Linked DNA regions of Canis lupus familiaris. The protein of the gene in region 2 interacts with the protein of the main gene of each other region in a pairwise test. Links are inferred from orthologs where the notes say so. Each region holds a gene or a part of one and is shown on either strand. Other genes may lie near its edges. The genes, in order: EXOSC1, REL, CDKN2C, ACOT8, HDAC7, IL36RN and MAGOHB.

Region 1 (3,500 bases), on a different chromosome or scaffold from region 2:
TACTACAGTTGGCTCTGAAAGAATACAAAGTAAATCTGAGGGAATAGCAAAGAATAGACACCTGGCTTCAAAGGCAAGGAATAAAGTAGTCCCCTTCTGCTCAATAGAGCAAACAAAAAATCCTAAGGAAAGGAAAAGGACAGTGAGGTGAATTCCACACTTTCCAGTAGGAAACACCTTAAAATTCCTTGGACCTTTGGATCCACATTCCCACAGATGTTTGAAATTCCCTGGAGTAATTTAAAAGGATCGAGATTCCTAAAGTCATAAGGGGAAAAAAAAAAAAGAACCAACCAACAACCTTGTCTTTTTCAGTAGCTCGGACATCTTCCTTGCTATAAAAAAGAATTAACAAAAGATTAATTATCTGTGAGAATTATCCTGCAGAATCATAGCAGACAGAGAGCTACAAGAATAGAGAGAACAAATCATAATTGGGACCCAAAGGCCACCCAGAAGTGGGGTGGAGAAGCATTCCAAGTCCTCCCCTGGAGGAGAAAACCACATTCCCATTCTTGGGTCACACAGAGCAGCAGTATCAATACCTTTGACTAGAGAAAAGCAGATCAGATTTGGCAGGAAAGAATAAGGAACTTTGCTGCCTTAGGAAAGCTTGTACAGAAGCACTACAGAACCAACATGGAATCCTAAGGGTGGAAAGAGCCTTAGAAGCTATATCTAGCTCACAAGAATTGTTGGTCTCTACTTTAAAAACCTACAGGAAAAAACAAACAAAACCCTACCATTCCACTCACCTTTTTAAAAATATATTTTATTTTTTTAAGATTTATTTATTTTACAGAGAGAGAGAAAGAGTGCATATGCCATGAGTGGGGGGGGGGAGCGTGCACCCTATTTTACAGAGGGAGAGAATCTCAAGCAGACCCCTCACTGACTGCAGAGCCAGACACGAGGCTTGATCTGACGACAGCTTATGAGATCACGATCTGAGTTGAGATCACAAGTCGGTCGCTCAACCAACTGAGCCACTCAGGCACCTCTAAGATTCTATTTTTAAGTAATCTCTATGCCCAACATGGGGCCTGAACTCAAAACACCGAGATCAAGACTTACATGCTTTACTGACTGAGCCAGACAGGTGCCCCTCACCCACTAACCTTTTTTTTTTTTTTTTTTTAAGATTTTATTTATTTATTCATTCATAGAGACAGAGAGAGAGAGAGGCAGAGACTCAGTCAGAGGGAGAAGCAGGCTCCATGCAGAGAGCCTGACGTGGGACTTGATCCAGGGTCTCCAGGATCACGCCCTGGGCTGCAGGCGGCGCTAAACCGCTGCGCCACCGGGGCTGCCCACCCACTAACCTTTTTACCTTTTTAAAGTCTTTCGGGGGATCCCTGGGTGGCGCAGCGGTTTGGTGCCTGCCTTTGGCCCAGGGCGCGATCCTGGAGACCCGGGATCGAATCCCACGTCAGGCTCCCGGTGCATGGAGCCTGCTTCTCCCTCTGCCTATGTCTCTGCCTCTCTCTCTCTCTGTGTGACTATCATAAATAAATAAAAATTAAAAAAATAAAAAAAAATAAAAATAAAGTCTTTCGGGATCCCTGGGTGGCGCAGCGGTTTGGCGCCTGCCTTTGGCCCAGGGCGCGATCCTGGAGACCCGGGATCGAGTCCCACGTCGGGCTCCCGGTGCATGGAGCCTGCTTCTCTCTCTGCCTATGTCTCTGCCTCTCTCTCTCTCTCTCTCTCCGCCCCCCATCATAAATAAATAAAATTAAAAAAAAAAAATAAAGTCTTTCAATCCTTAGATTTAAACTATATTAAATACAAAAAAGGAAGATATTTCTTAAGATGCCTTTAACTTTTTTTTTTTTTAAAGATTTTATTTATTCATGAGAGATACAGAAAGAGGCAGAGACATTGGCAGAGGGAGCAGCAGACTCCCTGCAGGGAGCCCGGTGCAGGACTCAATCCCAGGACCCCGGGATCACGACCCGAGCCAAAGGCAGACACTCAACCACTGAGCTACCCAGGTGCCCCTAATTTGTTCCATATGAACTTCCTGCAACACTAGTTTCCAGCTTAGCTCAATTCTTTTCATTTTATTTTAAAGCCCAATCTTGTCAATATTTTCCTTTTGTCCTAGCTCATACATTATAACATTTCCTTTGGACACTACCTGGACAGAATCAAAGAACAAAGAGGAGAGAGAGGCAGGTAGATATAGGAACTGTAATTGTTCCTAAAAATTTCAATCCCTGTTCTATTCTAATCTCATTCCAGGTGCTGATGCAAATGCAAAAACATGAATACTTCTTACCGGATAGTTCCTCGAAAAGAGTTCTTAAGTGGTGTGGACCCCACATATAGGATGTGCACTTTGGCAAAGCGTGAATTGATGCTAGAGACCTGTGGAACAGAAAAAAGATCAGCATTAGAGTAGTAGCAGTTGTCAGTTCAAGGAGGCAGCAAGAAAGGAATTACCAGTGTTTTAGTCCAAGCAATCCTACTAATTATAGAATTTAAGACAAGTTAACTCCTACTTAATTCTGCATAAATGATATATGTCAAATGGAATGAGAGTCTCTCCAGCCACCTAATAAAGTTACTGTGGGCATCCAATGAAATAATATGGAATATATCTTGAAAAATACAGAAGCCTAACAAATAAAAACAGGGCATTACCGTAAATCTAGACCTTTAACTGATCTTACCAAGAGCCCGGTACAGTGCACAGAAAAATTTTTTTAAATGTTTATATTTCTTTTTTTTTTAATTTTTTATTTATTTATGACAGTCACACACAGAGAGAGAGAGAGAGAGAGAGGCAGAGACACAGGCAGAGGGAGAAGCAGGCTCCATGCACCGGGAGCCCGACGTGGGATTTGATCCTGGGGTCTCCAGGATCGCGCCCTGGGCCAAAGGCAGGCACCAAACCGCTGCACCACCCAGGGATCCCCAGTGGACAGAATTTAAGTGTACATTTCAGTTACTGTGTAATATTTGGATCACTGCCTCTTCAGTTATTTTAAGAATAACACATTGATTTTCTGCTGGAACAATTTATAAACAGCAACTAAGAACTCAAGTTGATTTAACTTAACATGGGGGTGGGCAGAGAGTAAGGATGTCTTGTAGTTACTGATCAGTATAGCATTAATTTGTATTTCCCCTGAAACACCCCAAATGATGAAATTTATTTTTAAAAAAGATTTTATTGGGATCCCTGGGTGGTGCAGCGGTTAAGCGCCTGCCTTTGGCCCAGGGCGCAATCCTGGAGACCCGGGATCGAATCCCACGTCGGGCTCCCGGTGCATGGAGCCTGCTTCTCTCTCTGCCTCTCTCTCTCTCTGTGACTATCATAAATAAATAAAAATTTAAAAAAAATAAAAATAAAAATAAATAAAAAAGATTTTATTTATTTATTTGAGAGAAAGAAAGAGACACAGCATGAGTGGAGAGAAGGGGCAGAGGGAGACAGAAAAGCAGACTCCCTGCTGAGCAGGGAGCCTGATGCAGGGCTGGATCCTAGGATCACCACC
Region 2 (3,500 bases):
ATACCTTTTTTGATGAATCTTCCTTCTCCAGTTGATACTAGGGTACCAGGTCTAGGTCTTTCAGGAAAATTAACTGCTGTGATAAAGTTTTTCCATTATTAAATGCAATTTAAAAAAACATCAGCTAAAATTTGGAAAATTGAATAAAGCAAAAAACCCAAAATCTATTTAAATACAAATCAAATACTCTTACCACAATCTTGCCACAGTTTCTGGAAAAGTAGAGTTGTTTTTTGTTTCTTTGCTTTATTGCCATAAGTATCTGGTTAAAAAGAAACGAGGAAAACATGTAGATCATCATAGGTTTATGTGGCTTCTCCTTTAAAAAACAGGTGTTTTATTCCCATAAAGTGCTTTAAACAAATGTATATGCTTTGGATTTATTAAGTGTTGCAGAATGTGTCCCAAGTAGGTAGTAAAGGGTCTAATACTCATCTTGTTTTCTCATAACACCTATAAGTTAACAATGTCAACTAACGCAATAAGGGCAGGTAAGGACGAAACCAAAATGGAGACCATTCTGAATGGCAAGCTTTCCATCTATAAAAAGGGCACAATAAGGACAAAAATAGAACCTCAAATATAAAATAAATTTTGGTAAACAGTTCAGATACTCTGAAATTATTCTAGATTCCTTTCCAAAGACAGGAATACAAAGAGCATAAATATCAATAGGTTAAAAAAAAAAAATCACCGAAAAATTTTCTGGAAATAAAACGTGAACTATAAATAAACCTAACAGTATGCAAACGTATCTTACAAGAAAATGGTATTAGGAGAACTTTAAGAAATACATAAAACCTTACCACCAAGAACTCATACCTTTTTCATCTGGCAGATATCTAAAATCCATTGATTCACTAACTTCCTGGTCAGAAGGTCTCCGCAACTGCATTTTTACTGTCACTGGTTCTGTTATAGCTCTGCAATATGGTGGAGTCTTAAAAACAATGGCTACTTGACGGTGTACATCAGCTTGCGAAAATATACCTTTTGCTTCCCAATCATTCAACACGAACCGAACTTCTATGTCATCTAATGAATATAAAAGCAAAGGAACAGCAATGGAAAACAAAATCCATCTATTAATCTAAAATACAGATGGCTCCCAGCTGATGATGGTTCAACTTGACAATTTTTTGACTTTATGATGGTGTGAAAGTGATATGCAGTCAGTAGAAACCGTACTTCAGATTTTGATCTTTTCCTGGATTAGTGATAGGCAGCATGACATTCGGAAGATGCTGGGCAGTGGCAGCAAGCCACGTCAGCTACATGATCAGGACGGTAAACCACTGATATACTCACAACTGTTCTGATTTTCACTTTCAGTACAGTTTTCAATAAATTACATGAGATAGTCAATACTTTATTATAAGTAGGCTTTGTGTTAGGTCATTTTGCCCAACTATAGGCTAATGTGTTTTCTGGGCATGTTTGAGGTACACTAAGCTGAACTACGACGTTTGGTAGGTTACGTGTATTAACTGCATTTTCAATTTAAGATTATTTTCAATTTACAGTGAATTTATCATGGTATAGCCCCACTGTAAGCCAAAGAAGATCTGCATATTCTAAATTCAATGAAACAAATAAATAAATACCTTTCTGAACTTTATCACATAGTAGAAATATTTCATCACCACCTCGGACACTTCCACAGTTCTTGTTTACACGACAAATCCTTAATTCTGCAGTATTAGGAGCACCTAAATAAAAAGGATTTTTTAATGAGTTTCTGTCTTAGTAATATTTTTTATTCTTTTTTTAAAAAAAAGATTCTATTTATTTATTCATGAGACACAGAGAGAGAGAGAGAGAGGCAGAGACATAGGCAGAGGGAGGAGCAGGCTCCATGCAGGGAGCCCGATGTGGAATTTGATCCTGGGACTCCAGGATCATGCCCTTGGCCGAAGGCAGGCGCTAAACTGCTGAGCCACCCAGGGGTCCCATTTTTATTCTTTTTTGATGGTGAGAATTCTAGGGAAACAATTTATAGGACAGATAAAAGCTTTAGTGTATAAAGAAATTAAGGACATTAAGTACATTAATCATTCACACCTGTCCTTTTCCTTTCTGACGACAAGCCCACCCTGGTCTATAGCCTTGTGACTTCATTTCTCAGCAATAATAGGTCCACTAGTTAAATTTCCTTGTTCCTAAATTCTCATCCTTTCAATCCATCCATACACTGTCACCAGATTAATCTCTTAAATCATGACTATAACCCTATAACAAGGTGATTTCACGCTCCCTTTTATTAGGAATATAATTTCAGTAACTCTCCCTGGCAATTCAAAATTCTCCGTGAGAAGGATACCCTGATCTACCATTATAGGCCTATGTGCTTCTAGATGCAAAATAGGCCATCATATACCAGGAATGGATGCATATATAAGAGCAAATATGTACACGTGTGCACAAAAACTTTCAGGGCAATTTCATAATCTTTTAAAACTATAAATATCCCTATCCTTTGATCCAGGATTTGCCAACATTCATACTACTGTAAAATTATGCTAGAGACACATATGCACAAAATATGCATATACAGGATATTTACTGAAATACAATTTATTAGAGAAAAAATCAAGAAGGAAACAAACCAAATACCTTGTTTGGTTTAATAAGATGATGATACAGCCATATAAGGAAATATGCAGCTACTGAAGGGAACAAGGTACCTCAAAGGGAAAAGGCTCAAGATCCATTGCTAAGAGAAAAAATTTTTTTCCAAAGGATCTGTGATGATTTAAGTTGCTAAAAGTATATTGTATCAAGGATAGTGATAATGTGTTTTTATATATGAAGAAACTGGTGAAATATGTACCTGAGGATATAGATTATCTTTGGAGGAGGAGATCAGAGAAGATCTAGTCTTCTTGTTATTTCAGTAATGCTTGAATTGTTCTTATAATGAACAAACTTTCTCTAATTGCCAAAATACTTTAAAAAATTAAACTAAAAAACATATAAATACAATACAATACAAATACAATAAAATAAAGTACTTACGGTTGTCATAAATCGGGTTAGAGACAACAGGAGGTAGAGCCGTTGTCAAATTACCATGTTCATCAGGGAGGAAAACTTGAAAACATAATCTCACCACGTTGAGGTCGCAATCTTCAATATCCAGCAGCTGTTGTTCAGGGACTAAATAGTACATTTTTTTTTTTTTAAAGAATGTAAAATAGTCACATAGAACTAAAACCCTGCTAGGTCCTCCTCCCTGCCCAACATTTCCAATAACCCTAAGTAGCATCCAATCTGTACTAACAAAATAGAAGAGTATAAAATCGCAAGAATGCCTTTTATCAGGATCATCATGTAGTCACAGGATTCATTAAGTTATGTGCATGGTCAGGAAGTAACTATCCTAAGTCATCTGAAATTTAGAGCAGAATGCCAAAATGATATTAATAACCAACCAAATTTTTACAAAAAGGGTTGCAGGTTATACACAACAGAGAATAGGGAGAGTATAAATCTGTATGAGA
Region 3 (4,173 bases), on a different chromosome or scaffold from region 2:
ATAGTAGACACTCAAATGTTTGTGAAATCAAATATAATCCACTGAAAAATTCCTACAAAGTTGATCTGTCACTTTAAATTGTTTATTTAAAAAATAATCACAAATTAAGTAATAAAATATATTTAGAATGAATAATATTTTATGAATGCAAACTATATAGATGGCCAAGGTATTAAGCTTCCCTGTTGATAAAACCCTGCTGACCTAGCCTTGCCTTTGGAGCAATGGTAAAAATGATACATAATTTATTTTTTGAGAATTTCAATAAAATATATTTATTAGTTAAAAACGAACACAATCTAATTTTTGCCACAACTATCTCTAAAGATTTAGTCACATTTAAAGATCTAGACCGGGAAAAATAAGGGACAGACACCTTGGATCTTTGTAGAGCAAATGCGCGATTAAGGCCTTTCACATTATCCTGATTGAAAAGCTTACACTAGGAAGGGGGGAAAAGCTTTTGCAACCAGGTTAAATGAACATAATTATAGAAGAAAATTCGCCTTTCACAGAAAATAATAGTAATACTGGAAATTGTTTTGAAAGAAAGTTCTTTCTTGAGTTATGACACAACTTCAGAGTCAGGATTATACATACTGAAAATAAACCTTGAGACTCCTGTTTGTGTATGTTTCATTATATAAATTAGGGTTAAGCCACAATAAATGGGTATTAGTATATTGATAAGTGTGCTTAATATAAACAAGATTGCAAAGTTGTATTAAAAATATCAAAACTTTTTGTCAGTCTTCCTGTTCATCAAAAGTCCTGTAAGATCTTATTCTGAACATGGGTTAAATTGCTCATTCTTAGTCAAATTTATATAATCTTTGGATTTTCAATAGGAAACTTTTCAATATATCAAATTTGTAGCATTGTTATCATCATCAAAGCTATTAAAAACTACTAGGTGGACAAAGAAAAAAATTCCTTATCCCATAGAATCTACGTGAAATAACAAGATTAAATAATTTAGTATTTATGCATAAATTTCCTTAATACTGAAATTTTTGCAAGGCCGGTATGTTCTGATTTAAAAATGTACAGACTGAACTTCGTCTGTTAATAGCGTATCTCCTGCTACTTTTAAGTCTAATTCTTGTAAGTAAAACAAAGCATTCTAAAACCTTCTCCCCAATGAATTTTCAAAAACAGCTTCAAGTGTTGCATTTCCGAATAAGAACGGTTTATAAGAACACTATTAGAACTTTGATAAAGCAACTATTTGAGACTACTTTGCCATTTTTCTGTTTCTAAGCCTTTCAACTAAGTTACATGATAATTAACATTCAGAGGAGGAAAAAAATTATCAGGTACAATACTTGGCAGCTGGACATGTTTCATTTCTTGCTTGTAAATCTAATTACTGAAAATTAGAACATACCACCGCATGACCTCAGAGACAAAAATACTACAAACTGAGCTCTGATTAGAAAATTCAACTTTTTATTCCTCCTCAATCCCGAACGGGTGGATGGTATTGCATTAACTGTGAAATGTACATCCTGTCCCTGTGCCCAGGCCACCTATTCCAAACGAGGAAAGGTCGTTTGTCAAAACTTGAAGCATTTGAAGGAAAAACACCCTCGCCAGGAGTCAAGAAAATTAACGTTAAAGCCAATTATTGGAGCAAAGCACGGAAACCACTAATAGCAGAGTATTTACTTCAAATAATAACTATAATAATGTGTTTACAGAGCTGTCTTAAAACACACACACACACAGACACACACACACACACCTCGGCGCTGCTTCGACTACTTTTAAATCCCCACCGTCACAAAAACATTCCAAAAATTAAGACCAAACCTGGAACCCATCTGATATCGAGGATGTCATTGAATTCGACGAGTTTGTTCAAAGTACGTCATTTTTGGGGACTCGGATCCACTTAAAGATATAAAATATGGCAACCAAGTAGGCTTAAAAAACAGTGAAATTCTGTACCCCTGAAAGCTTAAAAGCCGTTATTCCAGAAACCCGGGTCACGTAGGCAACATTGTTGACCTGTTTTCCCCACCTCTCTGGATACCAACCTGCAGCGCAGTCCTTCCAAATCCATTTTGTGCATTGACGTTTACATTATTTTGCAACAAACTAGTAAGTTGCTCTAGGTCCCCCCTGGCAGCTGCAGACGCCAACTCGTTCCCCCAAGGCTCGGCCATTCTTTAGGGTCCTGACGATCGGGAAAAGATGAATTAGTTGTTTTTCTTTTTCCCCTTTCCTTTTGCTCCTAACCAGGCTGCATGATGGCATCGGAGACTGACAGAAGGACTGGGATGGTTAATCTGGAGTAGAGCTTGGTAGTAAATACTAGTAAGATCTGCCTGCCAAAAGCCCGCCCCTCGGTTCACACGTGATTATTCAGCAAAACTGAGCCATTGGAGAGGGGCTCCGCTCCTCGCTCTTTAGCTTAACCCCTGTGAAGAATTCTGGTGACTCAACAGAAAGACACACAGACGTCTATACATTGCCGGCAAATTGCTCTGGACGTAAAATGCTGGCAGAGCTGTCACGTATCTACATACAGGTCTCCGCGAGTCCTGCGTGCGGGGACCTCGGCGGCTAGACCAGGGCGTAGAGCGCCGCGGCAGGAGGGGTTCGGGGGAGAGGAGGCATTAACCCACCCGTGCTCACGGCGGTGGCTGGAGCCGCGCGAGCCAGAACCGCGGGGGCAGGTCCTCGCAGGGCCCGGTCTCCATCCGTGTGCCGAAGGGTCGTGCTGCGCCCGCGGCGGGGAGGGCGCCCGCGGCGGGGAGGCCGGCGCGGAGGCAGACGCCGCTGGCAGTTCGTGGCCCTCAAGCTCTAGGTCCCAACGCTCCTGTGTGGCCTCGGCTGCTCGGGGGAGCCCCGACTCGCTCCGGGCGGCCCCGCCGGCTAACGCCGCGCGGGAGGGCTCCGCGGCCCGCCTGCCGCGCCGCCGCAGCCTCGCCGAGCCTCCCGGGCCGCGGGCGCCGGGCTGCGAGCGCGCCTCCGAGGACGGCCGGGCGCGCGGCGGGCCCCGGGCAGGTCGCTCATGCCGGCCCCCGCGGGTCCCGGGACCCCCGGCGGCGCGAGGAAGGGGGCGCGGGGCGGCCGTGCGGGCCCCGTCTACGCGGCCCGGGCTGCTGGGGCGGCGCGCCGCTGGCTTCCCGCCTACGACCGAGCCGGTCCAGACTTCCCACCGCAGCCTCTCCTCGAACCGCCGCCGCCGGCTCTTCCTTCCTTCCGCGGGTTTCGGGGGACCTCCGGAGGTCGGGAGCGGCCGGGGAAGCGCAGGCCAAGGTCCGGGGACCGGGGGCCGCCGCAACGCCCGAGAGCAGCGGGTCCTGCCCGCCCGTCGGCGACAGCCCCGCGGCTCCGGCCCCGCCGCCGCCCCGCCGCCCTCCGGCCGCCCACGGCCTGTGCCCCCGGCCCGTGCCCCCGGCCCGTGCCGCCGACGGGGCGCGGCCGCCAGCGAACTGTGCCCGCGGCCGAGCCGGGCACCGCCGCTCCCTCCGCAGCCGCAGCGCTCCCGCTGACAGTTTCTTTTGTAGCTGGTCCCCCAGATCGCCGGGCCCCGCTCTCTTCACCCCTGCAGACAACTTGCGCGTTGTCCTCTTTTCAGCTCTTTTCCTTCCCACCCGCCTTGGCTTCTTTTTTCGCTCAAACAATTGCTGCTTCTGTTGCCGCTGCGGAGACGGTGCCGGTTTCTTCTCTCTTTTTTCCGACCTCATCAGCTTTTTTTGAAAAGAAAAAAATTGAGCGCTTTTTGAGTTGAAAAACCCGCCCCCATTTTAACGGCAGAGTTTTAAGGAGGCTCGGCCGAGTTGCAGCGCCGCGGGAGCGGGAGGCCGGGCGCCGCCCACGCCCCGCCCCCTGCCCGGGAGGCGCTCGCGCTCGCGGCTCGCTGGCCCCGCCCCCGCCCCGCCCGCGCCCGCGCCCGCGCCCGCGCCCTTCCTCCCGCTGCCCCGCTCCCCGCCGCCCGCCCGTGCCCTTCCTCCCGCCCTCGCGCTCCCCGCCCCGCTCCCGGCTCCCGGCTCCCGCTCCCCGCTCCCCGCTTCCCCCGCCCCGCTCCCCGCTTCCCCCGCCCCGCTCCCCGCCCCGCTCCCCCCGCCCCGCCGGCCCCGCTGGAGCGGCGTTCTGCCCGGCCGAGCCGGGCTTGGCCTCCCTGAGGCCGGCTGGCGGGATGCAGTCGGCGACTCCAGACCT
Region 4 (3,934 bases), on a different chromosome or scaffold from region 2:
TTAATTTCCTTACTACTTAAACCCATTGACAAGTCCTTGAAACAGGTAGAGTGATCTCTAGAGACTCAGCTGCCTCCAGGTGAGTACTTTGCTAAGGGCAAGAGGCAATCTTAGTTTAACATTACCCTGACCCTGTAGGATCCTGGAAGTCTTCTTTAGACACGTAGAAATTCCTTTGGAAACTTCCTTTATCTCTACCATATTGGCATGCTGCATGTTGGCAATCACCCAAGCATATGGCCCACCAATACACATCTGAAGGGTCTCATGACTCAGGCTTTTTAAGACAGGAATAAATGACCTTTTCCTAACAATAACTAGCCCCCTCAAGGTCCTGGAAACCTGACTTCTAAAATACCTTGGAAACTTGTGCTGTCCCTAACCCCCATCCAACTTGAAAGTATATAGTCATTTGTCACAATCCCAGTACAGCCTTTTCTGCCCAGAAGTCCTGTTCTCGTGCTCTAGTAAGACCACCTTCTTAGGGAAGCCTGGGTGGCTCAGTTAGTTAAGCATCCGACTCTTGATTTTGGCTCAGATCATGATCTCAGGATGCTCAGCAGGAAGTCTGCTTGAGATTCTCCCTCTCCCTCCTGCTCTCCTCCCCCCACTCTTTCTTTCTAAAAATAAATAAATCTTTAAAAACAAACAGACAGGGACACCTGGGTGGCTCAGTGGTTGAGCATCTGCCTTTGGCTCAGGTTGTGATCCCGGGGTCCTGGGATCTAGTCCCACATCAGATTCCCCGCAAGGGGCCTGCTTCTCCCTCTGCCTATGTCTCTGCCTCTCTCTCTCTCTGTGTGTCTCATGAATGAATAAATAAAATCTTTTTTAAGAAACAATAAAAATAAAAACAAACAAAATCATCTTTTTACACCAAACACATCTCAAGAATTCTTTCTTGATCATTTGCTCTGCCGCCAACATTTCCTCAACAAGCACTCAGTGATCTCATCCGTGTGAAGTCCAACACTCCTCTGGGCCCCAGACCTTGCTCCTCTCTAGGTTCCCCTGAGGGGAATCAACTGTCTCACTCTCCCCTCCCCCACCGCCCTTCCTCCCTCTTCCAGCCCATCAGCCCCCCAAGTCCAGGAACAAGTGGCTGCTGGGCCCTCAGGGTTGGGTTTGGGTATAAAGAGGGGATAGTTTACCTGTCCGTACAAAGTAACAGTGCAGAGAGTGCACATGGACGTCTTCACTCACAGACTTGGCTGCAGCCACCAGGGCCTGGCCCACAATCTGACCCCCAAACAGCCGCTGGGTTGTGGGTACCCAGTAATGTCTTCCTCTGTGGAGAGAGGGGAAAGCAGGAAATACTTGGGCCAAATCCTGCAACCATCCTATAGGGCAAGACCTCTCAACCTTATTGACGTCTGGGATCCTTCTGAAATCTGGTGAAAGCCATGGACCCTTCTCCCAGGCAAATACCCTTACTCTGCATACAGCATACATGTAACTTTAGTGCCTTCAAGACTGCCCAACCCTTCTGTGGGCTTCAGTTAAAGATAAGGAACCAGCTCTCTTCTTTTACCCAAAGAGAACAGGGATCAGAGAGGGAAAGTGACTTGAGTGAGGTCAGTCAACTTAAACATTGCCAGTCCTGAGCAGTGTCTGCGTCTTCTGCCCCCAAGTCCAGTGTTTCTTTCACTGCCGATTCCAGGATAAAGCAGAAGCCTCTCAAGGCCATAAGGGGACCAAGATGATCCCCAAGAGCTGCGGGCAGACTGCGTTCAGGCCTGCCACTTGGGCCTCTCAACTTTAGCCCAGTTCTTCCAAGAACTACAAAGGGTCCTAGAACTCAAAGGGTCCTCAGGCTTTAAGGGTAACCCTCTCGCGCACAGATGAGGAAATGAGGCCCTGGAACTCCAGCTTCCTACCACTGAGGCCAGCTCAGCTCCAACCTAGGTTAGCATTTAAAAAAAAAATATAATGCCTTCCAAGTAGCCCCTCCTAGTCATTTGCAATTCATTAAGTAGGGGGAAGTGAAACTCTAACATTTAAGATTGCCTCTGAAAAGCCAGTAGGAACCCTGACGGCCAAAACTATTAAATCCCTAGCTGCAGAAAAGCATTTAAGTGGTATCTGGAAGGAAACTGGCTCAGATCTCAGGGCAATGAGGTACTAGATCCAAGTGGTGGAAGGTGCGAGGTACGTAAAAGGAAAGAACAGTGAATATGCAAGAAGCTGCTTCTAAATTTTCAACCGGATCAGCTGCGTGCATTTAAGTGACCACCCTTTCTGGGCTGGCCCCTAGGGACAGGACTCCTCCAGAGAGCCTGCTGTGAAGGCTAGCTCAAGCCACCACTTCGTCTGCCCGGATGGCTAGGGCCTCCTAGTGGCGGGGCTGAGCAGACCTGGCGCGCACCGGAGGAAGCTAGGGCAGCGAGACCAGCCAGGTCTGTCAGGGACCAGTTCTCTCCCAGGCGCGGCAGAGCCTGCATCCTGCACAGAGCCCATCCCCGTCCGGGGGGCTATGAGCAGGAGGCAACGCGGTGGCGGCATCGAGGTCGGAAGTCTCTGTCCCAATGTGGGGGGTGGCGGGGGGAGGGGTGCGAGCCAGATGCAGCCGGCTACCTGAACAGATCCACGTCTAGCGGCTCGAGGTTGAGCACGCTGGTAACCAGGACGCTGCGGAGGTCCCCGGAGGGATCGCCGCCGCCCTGCTCATCCTCGGGAGCCTGCCGGGACGCCATGGGGTTCACGCGCGGCCAGCCAGAACACCGCGCTGAGCGGACACGAGGACACCCGCACTGAACGCCGACCTTCTTCCGGCAGCTTGCTCCAGTAACAGGAAATCGCCTCAAGGCCCCCCCGCCCAAGAAAGAGGGGTCCAAGTTATGATTGGTCGGCCCTCCTGTCAGTCTTCGCGAGAGGCGGGCTAGCTTTCTCTAGCGATTGGAGAAAATGAGTGCCAGTCTGGGAATACCGTGTGTGATTGGATGTAACTGTGAGGGGGCGGAACCCAGGGCTGAATAATAAGAGCTGAGCGTCATTTCCCCTCTGTGAGAAAGCAAAGACGCCCCCAGACCCCTAAGCCCTCTCGGCCCTTAGGGCTCCTCCTGAGCCCCGTAACAGGCCACTCAGCTGAGGCCGACCCTTAAGGCATCCTGGACATGCGCCAGCCTGTAGGCCCTCACAGTGTGACCTCTGAACCCTAGTGTTGATCCGGGGGCCAGCCCCTGGTGTGGGCTGAGGGGGCGGCCATGGAGCTGGGCAGCTGCTTCAAGACCTACGAGGATTTCAAGGAGTGCTTCAGCGCCTACAAAAAGGAGAACAGGTGCTCCTTCATTCTCAGGGACTGCGTCTCCGTCCGCTTCCACAACCTCAACCATGGCACCTGCATCCGCGAGGACATCCTGTAAGGGCGGGGCAGGTCTGGGGCGGGGCAGGAGGGTGGGGAGGAGGCCGGACTGTCCCCTGGAGGGAGGCCTTGGAGGAGGAGGAGGAGGGAGCGCAGCTGGGCCCCGGTCTCAGGGCAATCAACAGGCACCGAGCACTTGTCCTGTGCCTGGTGGAAAGAGCAAAACATTCCCAAGGCATCGCTTTTTGACCACCCACTCCCCCTTCATTCATTCACTCCATTATAGCTTTCCTGAAATAACTGCAATTTGCCCCATTCTTTGAGCACCTGCAGTATCCCTCGTACAAAGTACCGTCTTCACAAATGGATACAAAACGCCTCTGGGATGATTTCCTCCATCAGTGTTCTCTTGACAAAGCAATGAACGCGGTCAGTTGTTGGTTAGTTTGCTCATTCATTCGTTTGTTTTCTACGTGGTTCTCGAGCTTCTGAGATTAACAACCGTTTTTTCAAACACTTCCCATGCCCCAGGCATCCTTCGCTGTTGTGTGCATGCTTTACCAGGCAGGGCTGTATTGAGAATTATAGTTAAATGCTGTTTTTCCCTTTTGGCAGCTGAGAAAACAGGCGGAG
Region 5 (3,500 bases), on a different chromosome or scaffold from region 2:
TGTGTGGCTGCTCTTCTGGGCAACAAGGTAAGCTGCCCCCCAGCCCCCGCATCTGTGCATCTGTAGGGCAGGGGTGGCAGGCCTAGAACGAGGGGGACCAACGGGGTGCCCCTTTCCCAGGTCAGATCTAGGATCCGGGTTTCCAGCCTTAGGCAGAGCCAGGAGCACATGAGTATTTGTGCCTGGAAAGCCAGGGCCCTTGGCGGTGGGAGAGAGCTGGGCCTGTGCGTCCCTACGGGCTGATAGGCTGTTTTCTATTGTAGGTGGATCCCCTCTCAGAAGAGGGCTGGAAACAGAAACCCAACCTCAACGCCATCCGCTCTTTGGAAGCCGTGATCCGGGTGCACAGTGAGTACAGAGAGAGGGCACCCACTGACCCCAGACTTGGGAGAACCTCCAGGGGCTACTGCCCTCAGTAACCCGGGCCCCATGGCCTCCAGTGCCCACCAGGCGGGGGGCTCCACTGCTGTGCAGCAGTGGGCTTCCTCTGAATCACCCCCACAGTAATGGCGGGACTTCCTCCCTCTCCATGTTGGGTACTCCTGGAGCCCTCCGGGTGGATCCAGTGAGGACCATCAGTCCATCAGGGGGGACCCCCTGCCTCCTCAAGGCAGGACCGGCCTCCCATCCCCAACCTCAGCCCTAGGCCAGGGCCAGGCTGGAGCAATAGACCTTTTGCCAAAAGCGCTGGATCCTAGTTTGACCCTCAGTCCTGTCCATGGGGATCTTGAGAGCTTTGCCTGCTTTGGGGGCTTAGAATAACCCTACATTTGGGGGTGCCTGGGTGGCTTCATCGGTTCAGCATTCAACTCTTGATTTTGGCCCAGGTCTGGCCTCAGGGTCATGAGTTGAAGCCTTGCATTGGGCTCTGTGCCCAGTGTGGAGTCCACTTAAAAATAAATAAATAACCCTACATATGGAAAGCATTTTGAATTTTCACCTTTAACCTCCATGGAGCACTTAATGTAAAGACCCACGTTCACTGCTAGGGATGCAAAAACGAATGAAGTCGATTTCCCCACATCCAGGGCCAGTAGGGGAAGTGTGCATAACAATAAAGATGCTCCACTTTGCGTGGAGTCTTCACCCTGGGACCAGGCTCTGGGCTGGGCATGTCCTGTGGACGTTATGTGCCTACAACAGTAGGCAGGATGGTCATGTCCATGGCTAGCGGGGGTGGTGGAAGCCCAGGGCGGGTAGGTGACTTGCTGGTGGCTCCACAGAGCAGCCGTGGTGGCAGTCAGCTCTGTGCCATGTCCCTCCCACGTCCCACACTGTCCTGTCCTATGTGTTGGGCTGAGCATCACGTGGGGGCTGTGCATGAGTGACACCCTGTGTTCCAGGAGGCTGGGGCTCGGGATCTGTGAGGTGGTCTGAGATAGACTCCATCTAGGGAAGAGTGAGCTCTACTGGTGCTCTTAGGGACCCCATGCTGTGGGAATGGGTCAGAGGTGGGCTCTCGCCCGCAGGCGTAGGAGAGTGGCTCGGGCACCTGCTGGGGCCTCTTCGTAGCCCCACCGGGTCTGGTCTGCTCACCCTGTCAGGGCTGCGGGGGGCCAAGTGAGGGAAAGTGTTATGTTGAGGGTAGAGGCAAGGGAGAGCGCTGACCCCAAACTGAGGATACGCCCATACGCCCACTGACGGGGGGCCCTTGGCCTTGAGAGGTCCAGCCTCGTATCATCAGTCTAGGATGCGCGGTGTGGCAGGGTGGAGGGGCTTGTTTCTCTAACCCTTTCTGACTCTCGGCTTCTTGGCCCAGGTAAATACTGGGGCTGCATGCAGCGCCTGGCTTCCTGTCCAGACTCCTGGGTGCCCAGGGTGCCAGGGGCCGACACAGAAGAAGTGGAGGCAGTGACCGCACTGGCATCCCTGTCCGTGGGCATCCTGGCTGAAGAGCGGTAATGCCCGGCCCCCGGCCCACACAGCCTCTCCACCCCTCGGACCCTCCCTACCTGATGACCCCAGATCCCAGCACGGCCACCCCAGCCTTCCCCGGCTTCCCGGCATGCAGCCCCCGGCCCTCCAGCATCCCCACCCTTGTGTCTCCCTCCTCCAGGCCCCCGGAACAGCTGGTGGAGGAGGAAGAGCCTATGAATCTCTAAGGCTTCACAACGGATTTGCCTGCCCACCCCTGCCCTTCGGACCTGGTTCTCCTCTAGCCTCTGGCAACAGTACCCAGTCCCCGGGTCTACAGAGGGCCTTCGGGCAGGTAGTTGGGGCCAGAGCACAGCCCCTTGCCAGTCACCCCAAGGAGCCTGAGCAGGGCCCTGCATCTAGGATAGGGACCAAAGAGGACCCGGGGAGGAGGCCAGCTGGGCAGCCAGCCCCACCTCAGTAGGGCTCTCTCAAGAACAGAGTCGACCCCTTTGGGGTCCAGGCCCCTGGCTGGGCCCCATCCCTCAGGACTGCACAGAGGAGGACTAGCTCGGTCGGGCCCACCGATAACCACTATTCTTCATGGCTCCGTAGACCCTGGGCTTTGCACACGGCCCCAGGCTCCACGCAGAAATGTGAACTTGGCCTCAGCCAGGGTGGCCCTCCCTAGGCTCTGAGGGCTGAGCTGGAGTATGGGGGCGGGGGGAGGGAGGGGGAAGTCAGGGAGTCCCTTACCCCTGAGTGCAGGGGCATCCCTCTTGCCTGCTTCCTCAGATGACTCTGGAAGCTTCCCCCCCCTGCCCACTCCCCCCCCCCACCCCCGCCACTGGGCAGGGAGACAAAGCTCCTTCCGAGAGAGCAGTGGTCGGCAGGCCTCCCATCGGGTCCCAGCCCCTGCCACAGGCCCCCCTCCATCAGCCATCTCAGTGCCCTGGCGGAGCCGACAGGTGCTCTGGGAGTTCCGTGCTTCCTGAGCCGATGGTGCCAAACTCTTCATCTCCCCTCAGCGGCACAGTGTGACCGCCAGGGGCCCCTCGGTCACCGCCCCCCTCCGTGAGCCCTCTCTCTTTCTGGGGTCTCCCTCACCCAGCTCTCACTCCTGCCCCACATAGGACTAGCCTGGCTGAGGGGAAAGGGGTGGGAGAGTGGATGCAAGACACAGGGGAGGGGAGGCTGCCCTGGCAAAGTCTTCAAGGCTTCTGGGGTCCTGGCCTGGGGCCAAGAAGGAAAGTGTTTGTGTGCGTGTGAGAGAGAGTGTGAGAGTGTGTGTGTGTGTGTGTGTGTGTGTGTGTGTGTGTCTTCCCCAGGACCACCATACCCTGTGTATGTATGCATGTTTTTGTAAAAAAGAAAAAAAAATAAGAAAAAAAAAAGGAAAAAAAATCTGAACAATAAATGTTTTATTTGCTTTAAAGATGCCTGTGAAAGGGCCTCTGGGGAGGAGGGGTGTTCGGTGGGTGAACAGCTGTACCTCGTGCGCACGCGTCTCGTTTACTGTGGGAAAGGGCCCAGCCCCCCTCCAGCCCCCCTTCCAGCTCCCCCCCTCCGTGGCAGCTCCCTTGCAGAAAGAATCCCTTCTGAACACACCCTGGCCGTCCCCACTTGCCCCACCTGGGGGTAATAGA
Region 6 (3,058 bases), on a different chromosome or scaffold from region 2:
TGCTGGAGTGACAGTCCTTGGCATGTCAGACTGGAACTGCAAAGGTAATCAAGGAGGAACTAAATCTTGCAGGAACAGAGAATATTCAACAAATTTAGTATGATCAACTTTTAAACAGAATGTTTGGGGAAATAAAAGGTCAGATGTTAATTTTGAGAAGGGAAATGAAAATATTGGAGAAAATTGTAACCATAATAAAATAAATGTATTTCTTTCTCTTTCCCTCTGTATTAGTTATCTCATTGCTGTATAACAAGTGACCCCAAAATTTAATTGAGGAGTCTGAGTGGCTCAGTCAGTTAAGTGTCCAACTCTTGGTTTCAGCTCAGGTCATGATTTCAGGGTTATGAGATCAAGCCTTGTGTCAGACTCCATGCTCACTGGGAGTCTGCCTGAGATTCTCTATCTCCCTCTGCCCTCCCCACTTATGTGTGCCTGTGCTCTCACTCTCTCTCTCTCTCTCTCAAAAGATGAATAAATCTTAAAAAAAAAACCTTAGCAACTGAAAGCAAAAACATTTATTTTCTCAGTTTCTGAGAGTTGGGGATCTAGACCCGCTTAGCTGGTTGGTTCTGCTTCAGAGTTTCTCTTGAGGTGGCAATCAAGTTGTTGGCCAGAGTTGTGTCATCTGAAGGCCTGACTGGGGCTGGGGAAGCTGCTTCCAAATGCACTTATGTGGCAGTTGGTAGGAGGCTTCATTTTTCAACACATGGGTCTCTTTTTAGGGCTGCTTAGGAGATGGCAGCTGGCTTCCCCAGAGCAAGTAAACAAAGAGAGAAAACAAGATAGAGGCTGCAGAGTCTTTTGTAATCTAATCTCAAAAGTGGCATAATATTACCTCTGCCACATTCTGTTGGTCACAGAGAAAATGTGGGTACAATGTGGGAAAAGACACACACACGATGTGAGATGGGATCAGCAACGGCTGTGTTAATGTCATAGGGCCACCACAACCAATTACCACACAGCTGGTGATTCAAAACAATAGAAATTTGTTCTCTCACAGTTCAGGAGACTAGAAGGCCATCCTCCCTCTGAAGGCTTTGGGAAAAAATTCTTCCTTGCCTCTTCCTAGCTTCTGGCAGTTGCCTCAATCATGGCATTTCTTGCCTTATTGCAGTGAAAGTACAATCTCTGCCTCCATCTTCACATGGCCTTCCTGGTCTCTGTGTGCCTACGTGTCTTCTCCTCTTCTTGCACATGCAGTCATGTTGGATTTAGAGCCTACCCGAATACAGCATGACCTCTTGACTAATTGTATCTGCAAAGAACCTAATTCCAAATAAGGTCACAGTCTAAGGTATCCAGAAGGAAATAAATTTCAACCAGCACAGGATCCTTTGGAGGCTGAAACCCACACCTTGCAATCTTAGGGAGCTGTGACCACTCTAGGTCCAGAATTGTTCTTTCTATAAATTCCTTCTCCAGGAGATTTCAACCATGCTAACTCATCATATTCTCTTTCTTTGCAGGTTTGAGGAGATCTATGTTCTGATTCTTGCTGCTGCTGACCAGCAGAGTTCAATTCAATTTGAATTTCACTCAGGGAGTGCCGAGGATGGTCACAAATATTGTCTGCTCTGTTTTCCCCAAGATTAACTTATTTATTACACAAGGAGTCCATCTTCATCATGGAAGAATTAGAAAATGCAAATAAATAAAAGAACAAAAAGAAAAATCACCTATAATTGCTAAATTGATATTGCTAAAATTGAAGTAAACTCTTTCAGACTTCTATGCAGACACATATAGATATTTTTTAAATTAAAATGAAATTACAAGATATGCTACTTTGTAATTTGCTCTTCTCACTTAGAATGCCACGAGCAACTTTTCATGGGAATAGATACCAGTATCTTGGATTTTAATGGTACCTCAGGCTTCAAAAGGTAATGCCTGGACATTCTTCAGCCTTCTGAGCTGGAGTCATTCCTCGGACATCACCACCCTCTGCTGCCATGGCTAGAGCACGAGGGTGGATATGGAAAAGATAGAATATGATGGCAGCTGAGTTGTAAGGAAGAGGGATGGGGCTGGGCCTTGGGTCTCTAACTCTATGACCTCCCTATTCTGCATACTGGTGGATGACAGGACTTCATGTGAGCAGCTGGTGGCCCTAATAGGCTCAACTTGGGATGGACTGGTCTGTGGGGCTCCGGACTACTGGGTAAGTTACCATGAAGCATGAAGGATTTCCACAATTCCCTCAACCCTGACCCCTTAGGAACCTTTTTATGTGATTTCCAATTCATCTTGAGTGGTTTTTGCAAGATTCCACACAAGTAGCACCACTCAACAGGGAAAGAAAATGTGGACAAAGCCCCAAATCTCAGAAGGATTTACCTAAACTGGGAATCAAAAGGGAGAGTGGCCGAGTGCCAGCCAGAGGTGAGGCCCTGAGAGCAGATGGTGGGTGGCTGCCATCAGTGTCCTCCTCCACCTCTGCCCCGCCTGAGCTGCCTCTGCTCAGGTAGGTTCTGAGGGATGCATTGCCCTAGTCACACTGCTGGAAGTAGAAGTCTGTGATGGGGTTGTCCCAGCTGGCATCCTCTGAGAGCTGGGTAAGTCTGAGAGGCTGGTCTGCTTCAGGCACGGTGCAGAGGAACCAGCCTGGGTAGGCAGCTGACTCAAAGCTGGAGGTGAGCCCCGTGTCCCGCCGGTAGAAGGTGAAGCTCTTGGATTCCTTGGCACCAAGGTAGAGTTCCATGATGTTTACTGGCTGTGAGCAGAGGGGCAGGTGAGGGGAAGGAGTGGAGGAGGCAGGAGAACTGGGCTGGGGGCATGGAAAGGCAGGGCTGCAATCACAGAACCCTGTGAGGGAGAGGAGCTCAGGCCCTAGGATGCATGGCCCAGTGGCTTCAGGATCTGCTGGCTTATGAGGTCAGATAGCAAGGAAGCCCCCACAGGACTCACCTCTAGTTTCAGAGTTGGTTCCTGCCCTGTCCCACACGACAGGCACTGGCTTCCTCCCTGGACGCCCAGGATGACTGGAGACAGCTTGGCATCCAGAGACCGGTTGGGGACAACACTGATCTCCTCACCTAGAGAAAGGGAGCCA
Region 7 (2,552 bases), on a different chromosome or scaffold from region 2:
GAGGTAAGTTCTTTTTGAATGTCTAATTTTCTACATTTAGACCATTTTCTTCATGTCATTTTTGAATTTACAAAAATACACCTAAGGCTGTATTGCTGTAAAGAAGCCAATTTATAGGTTGAAAAGGGAGTCTTTAAATTAGATATAACGGTAGCATGTGTAACAGAAGAAGATGCAATCTGAGTATATTAAGTTGTAGTCCCACTTTTGAACATATAATTTCATTCATTTTATAATTAGTTATGTCTCCTTATCCCACTCCTTATTAAACTAATGGATAGTCAAGATTTAAACACAGTGAATTTTACATGAAAGGCTCAAAAGTTAGGGCTAAGTAAGAAAAAGTTCAGAGCAGTAACTGGGATATGTACTTGTATTTGTCTCTGTTCACCACAGATTTTCCAAATCACCATTAACCATTCAGATGTATTTGAGTTCCGTGTTACAAAGGCAGATCCAAAGTTTTAAAAAGGGGCTAGTGGAAGTTATTAATTTATTTATTTTAATTTAGTAACAGATATATATTAAAGGAAAGGGCAAGAGAGTTAATAAAGTTGTAAGATGAGTGATTCCCTCCCAACTTGTACTTTTGGAATCAGTATTAGATTTTCCTGTGATACTCTCTTTGAATATTTAGGTTTTGTAACTTTGTATTATCATTTCATCCTGAGTTGTGGGAAGAAATAGACATTGTGGAATTTTTATTGTAACTTGTTTTCAGGCTTATGTACACAAGAGTGTAATGGAAGAACTGAAGAGGATTATTGATGACAGTGAAATTACAAAAGAAGATGATGCATTGTGGCCTCCCCCTGACAGAGTTGGCCGACAGGTTTGTGTTCAGTGGTTCTTTAGGCATGGTAGTAGAAACTGGTAATATAAATGTTGTGTTTCTACTTATTTATTTAGAATAGATCCTCATTGATTCTTTGGTTTTCCATTTATTTAGTAGGCATCTGATCAATACTCTTTGATTTTATTTCACTTAGTCTCATTTTCTGTCCTACTTCTGAATAGTAAAGGAGTCAGTGCAGAGCTCTGAATTTAGACATCTTCCTGACGAGTCTTCTATGTAGCTTCACGAGTTAAAGTTATGATGTTTTCACACTGTTATGAATAATTGCTATTGTATATTAATTCTATTAAGAAAAAGTACAGTGTGAAATTCAAGACAAGATTCTTATTGACTATAAAATTCACTTTCTTCATTTTTATAACTTTGAGAACTCTTAGGCCCAAGAGAGGGATTTGATTGCGTCTTTGTGCAAACTGACTACCGCATTTGCCTCCTGTTGTTCCCTTTGGAGTAATTAATGTTTCTCAAAGGGCTTCTGGAGAAGTTTGTTTTTTTTTTTTTTCTTCTTTTTTTTTTTTTCTGGAGAAGTTTGAAGGCTTAATTTCCCTCTGTAGAAAGACAGTTTGATTGGGTCTTTTCAACTCTTGGAGAATTGAAATACAAATCCTGGAGGAAGAAACAGTTAATTTCATTTTTGTATATTCCTGAGGATTATACTTTATATCCCCTTCCTTGACTGGAAGAAAATATGGAGAAATCAAATGCTGATGTTCTGTGCAATCACTTAACTCTTCTATTTAAACAGGCATTTTTTAGGAAAGCAAAGGTCATAGTTAATAGTATTTATGTGACATATTGTAAACAGTTTTGAAAAGTAACTTTTTAAATCTTGGTTTCTTTCTTTCTTTTTTTTTTTTAATTTATTTATGATAGTCACAGAGAGAGAGAGAGAGAGGCAGAGACATAGGCAGAGGGAGAAGCAGGCTCCATGCACTGGGAGCCCGATGTGGGATTCGATCCTGGGTCTCCAGGATCGCACCCTGGGCCAAAGGCAGGCGCCAAACCACTGCGCCACCCAGGGATCCCCTAAATCTTGGTTTCTTTTATGCAATAGGTACTTATGTACTAAAAAACAGACACCATAACAGCAAATCATTTATCTCTTTTAGACTCAGAGAGAACTCAGTATTTTCATCTACCCACTTGATGATGGGTTTATGTGTTTTGGTTAGTAGGGAGGGGTAGGCATGTTCCAGAAATCATTTATTGGATTTTTAAAAAATTAATTAATTTATTCATGAAAGACACAGAGAGAGGCAGAGATAGGCAGAGGGAGAAGCAGGCTCCCTGGGGGAACCTGATGTGGGACTTGATCGTAGGACCTTGGGGATCACAACCTGAGCCAAAGGCAGGCGCTCAACAACTGCTGAGCCACCCAGGTATCCCTATCAATTGGATCTTTAAGTCAAAGATTCTATGATAGTTTGAGAGCCTTAGTTAATTCTCCATTTTGTGCATGTCATAAACTGTGTATAATTAGGTTTCTTGGTCAAAACATAGCTAAAATGTTCTTTAATTTTACTTGATAAATCACTACACACATAGCCTCTTAATTATTGATTTTAGATTTGCAGATAAAATCTAGGGAAAAATTTATACAATAATTGGGGCACACTAAGAATGTCTGTAATATGTTACATTTGCTTTAGTAGGTATTAATTTTACATGCTTTGTGAAGTCAAACAACTATGAGTCT

What was found.
Region 1: the proteins of REL (region 2) and EXOSC1 interact in binary tests that used the Homo sapiens proteins (3 or more experiments, as listed by UniProt). The two-hybrid records come from large-scale screens. The link is inferred for Canis lupus familiaris from reciprocal best matches to the Homo sapiens genes REL and EXOSC1.
Region 3: the proteins of REL (region 2) and CDKN2C interact in binary tests that used the Homo sapiens proteins (3 or more experiments, as listed by UniProt). The two-hybrid records come from large-scale screens. The link is inferred for Canis lupus familiaris from reciprocal best matches to the Homo sapiens genes REL and CDKN2C.
Region 4: the proteins of REL (region 2) and ACOT8 interact in binary tests that used the Homo sapiens proteins (3 or more experiments, as listed by UniProt). The two-hybrid records come from large-scale screens. The link is inferred for Canis lupus familiaris from reciprocal best matches to the Homo sapiens genes REL and ACOT8.
Region 5: the proteins of REL (region 2) and HDAC7 interact in binary tests that used the Homo sapiens proteins (3 or more experiments, as listed by UniProt). The two-hybrid records come from large-scale screens. The link is inferred for Canis lupus familiaris from reciprocal best matches to the Homo sapiens genes REL and HDAC7.
Region 6: the proteins of REL (region 2) and IL36RN interact in binary tests that used the Homo sapiens proteins (3 or more experiments, as listed by UniProt). The two-hybrid records come from large-scale screens. The link is inferred for Canis lupus familiaris from reciprocal best matches to the Homo sapiens genes REL and IL36RN.
Region 7: the proteins of REL (region 2) and MAGOHB interact in binary tests that used the Homo sapiens proteins (3 or more experiments, as listed by UniProt). The two-hybrid records come from large-scale screens. The link is inferred for Canis lupus familiaris from reciprocal best matches to the Homo sapiens genes REL and MAGOHB.

Annotation. Positions count from the first base shown.
Region 1 is NC_049249.1:10,916,542-10,920,041, forward strand, and holds part of EXOSC1 (exosome complex component CSL4), read right to left. Parts: intron 2,368-3,500; coding exon 2,279-2,367; intron 336-2,278; coding exon 302-335; coding exon of another isoform or gene 295-301; intron 1-294. UniProt on the Homo sapiens protein: Non-catalytic component of the RNA exosome complex which has 3'->5' exoribonuclease activity and participates in a multitude of cellular RNA processing and degradation events.
Region 2 is NC_049231.1:62,305,008-62,308,507, reverse strand, and holds part of REL (proto-oncogene c-Rel), read right to left. Parts: intron 3,157-3,500; coding exon 3,016-3,156; intron 1,710-3,015; coding exon 1,605-1,709; intron 1,036-1,604; coding exon 823-1,035; intron 263-822; coding exon 194-262; intron 77-193; coding exon 5-76; intron 1-4. UniProt on the Homo sapiens protein: Proto-oncogene that may play a role in differentiation and lymphopoiesis.
Region 3 is NC_049236.1:10,264,364-10,268,536, forward strand, and holds the start of CDKN2C (cyclin-dependent kinase 4 inhibitor C), read right to left. Parts: upstream 2,801-4,173; 5' UTR 2,631-2,800; intron 2,180-2,630; 5' UTR 2,169-2,179; coding exon 2,040-2,168; intron 1-2,039. UniProt on the Homo sapiens protein: Interacts strongly with CDK6, weakly with CDK4. Inhibits cell growth and proliferation with a correlated dependence on endogenous retinoblastoma protein RB.
Region 4 is NC_049245.1:33,783,335-33,787,268, forward strand, and holds the start of ACOT8 (acyl-coenzyme A thioesterase 8), read right to left. Parts: upstream 2,801-3,934; 5' UTR 2,694-2,800; coding exon 2,575-2,693; intron 1,289-2,574; coding exon 1,152-1,288; intron 1-1,151. Other genes in the region: ZSWIM3 (zinc finger SWIM domain-containing protein 3), read left to right, coding at 3,204-3,358. UniProt on the Homo sapiens protein: Catalyzes the hydrolysis of acyl-CoAs into free fatty acids and coenzyme A (CoASH), regulating their respective intracellular levels. Displays no strong substrate specificity with respect to the carboxylic acid moiety of Acyl-CoAs.
Region 5 is NC_049248.1:39,626,314-39,629,813, reverse strand, and holds the end of HDAC7 (histone deacetylase 7), read left to right. Parts: coding exon 1-27; intron 28-263; coding exon 264-348; intron 349-1,759; coding exon 1,760-1,898; intron 1,899-2,056; coding exon 2,057-2,102; 3' UTR 2,103-3,237; downstream 3,238-3,500. UniProt on the Homo sapiens protein: Responsible for the deacetylation of lysine residues on the N-terminal part of the core histones (H2A, H2B, H3 and H4).
Region 6 is NC_049238.1:37,370,110-37,373,167, reverse strand, and holds the end of IL36RN (interleukin-36 receptor antagonist protein), read right to left. Parts: intron 3,042-3,058; coding exon 2,914-3,041; intron 2,720-2,913; coding exon 2,495-2,719; 3' UTR 501-2,494; downstream 1-500. UniProt on the Homo sapiens protein: Inhibits the activity of interleukin-36 (IL36A,IL36B and IL36G) by binding to receptor IL1RL2 and preventing its association with the coreceptor IL1RAP for signaling.
Region 7 is NC_049248.1:11,014,357-11,016,908, reverse strand, and holds part of MAGOHB (protein mago nashi homolog 2), read left to right. Parts: coding exon 1-3; intron 4-721; coding exon 722-832; intron 833-2,552. UniProt on the Homo sapiens protein: Required for pre-mRNA splicing as component of the spliceosome. Plays a redundant role with MAGOH in the exon junction complex and in the nonsense-mediated decay (NMD) pathway.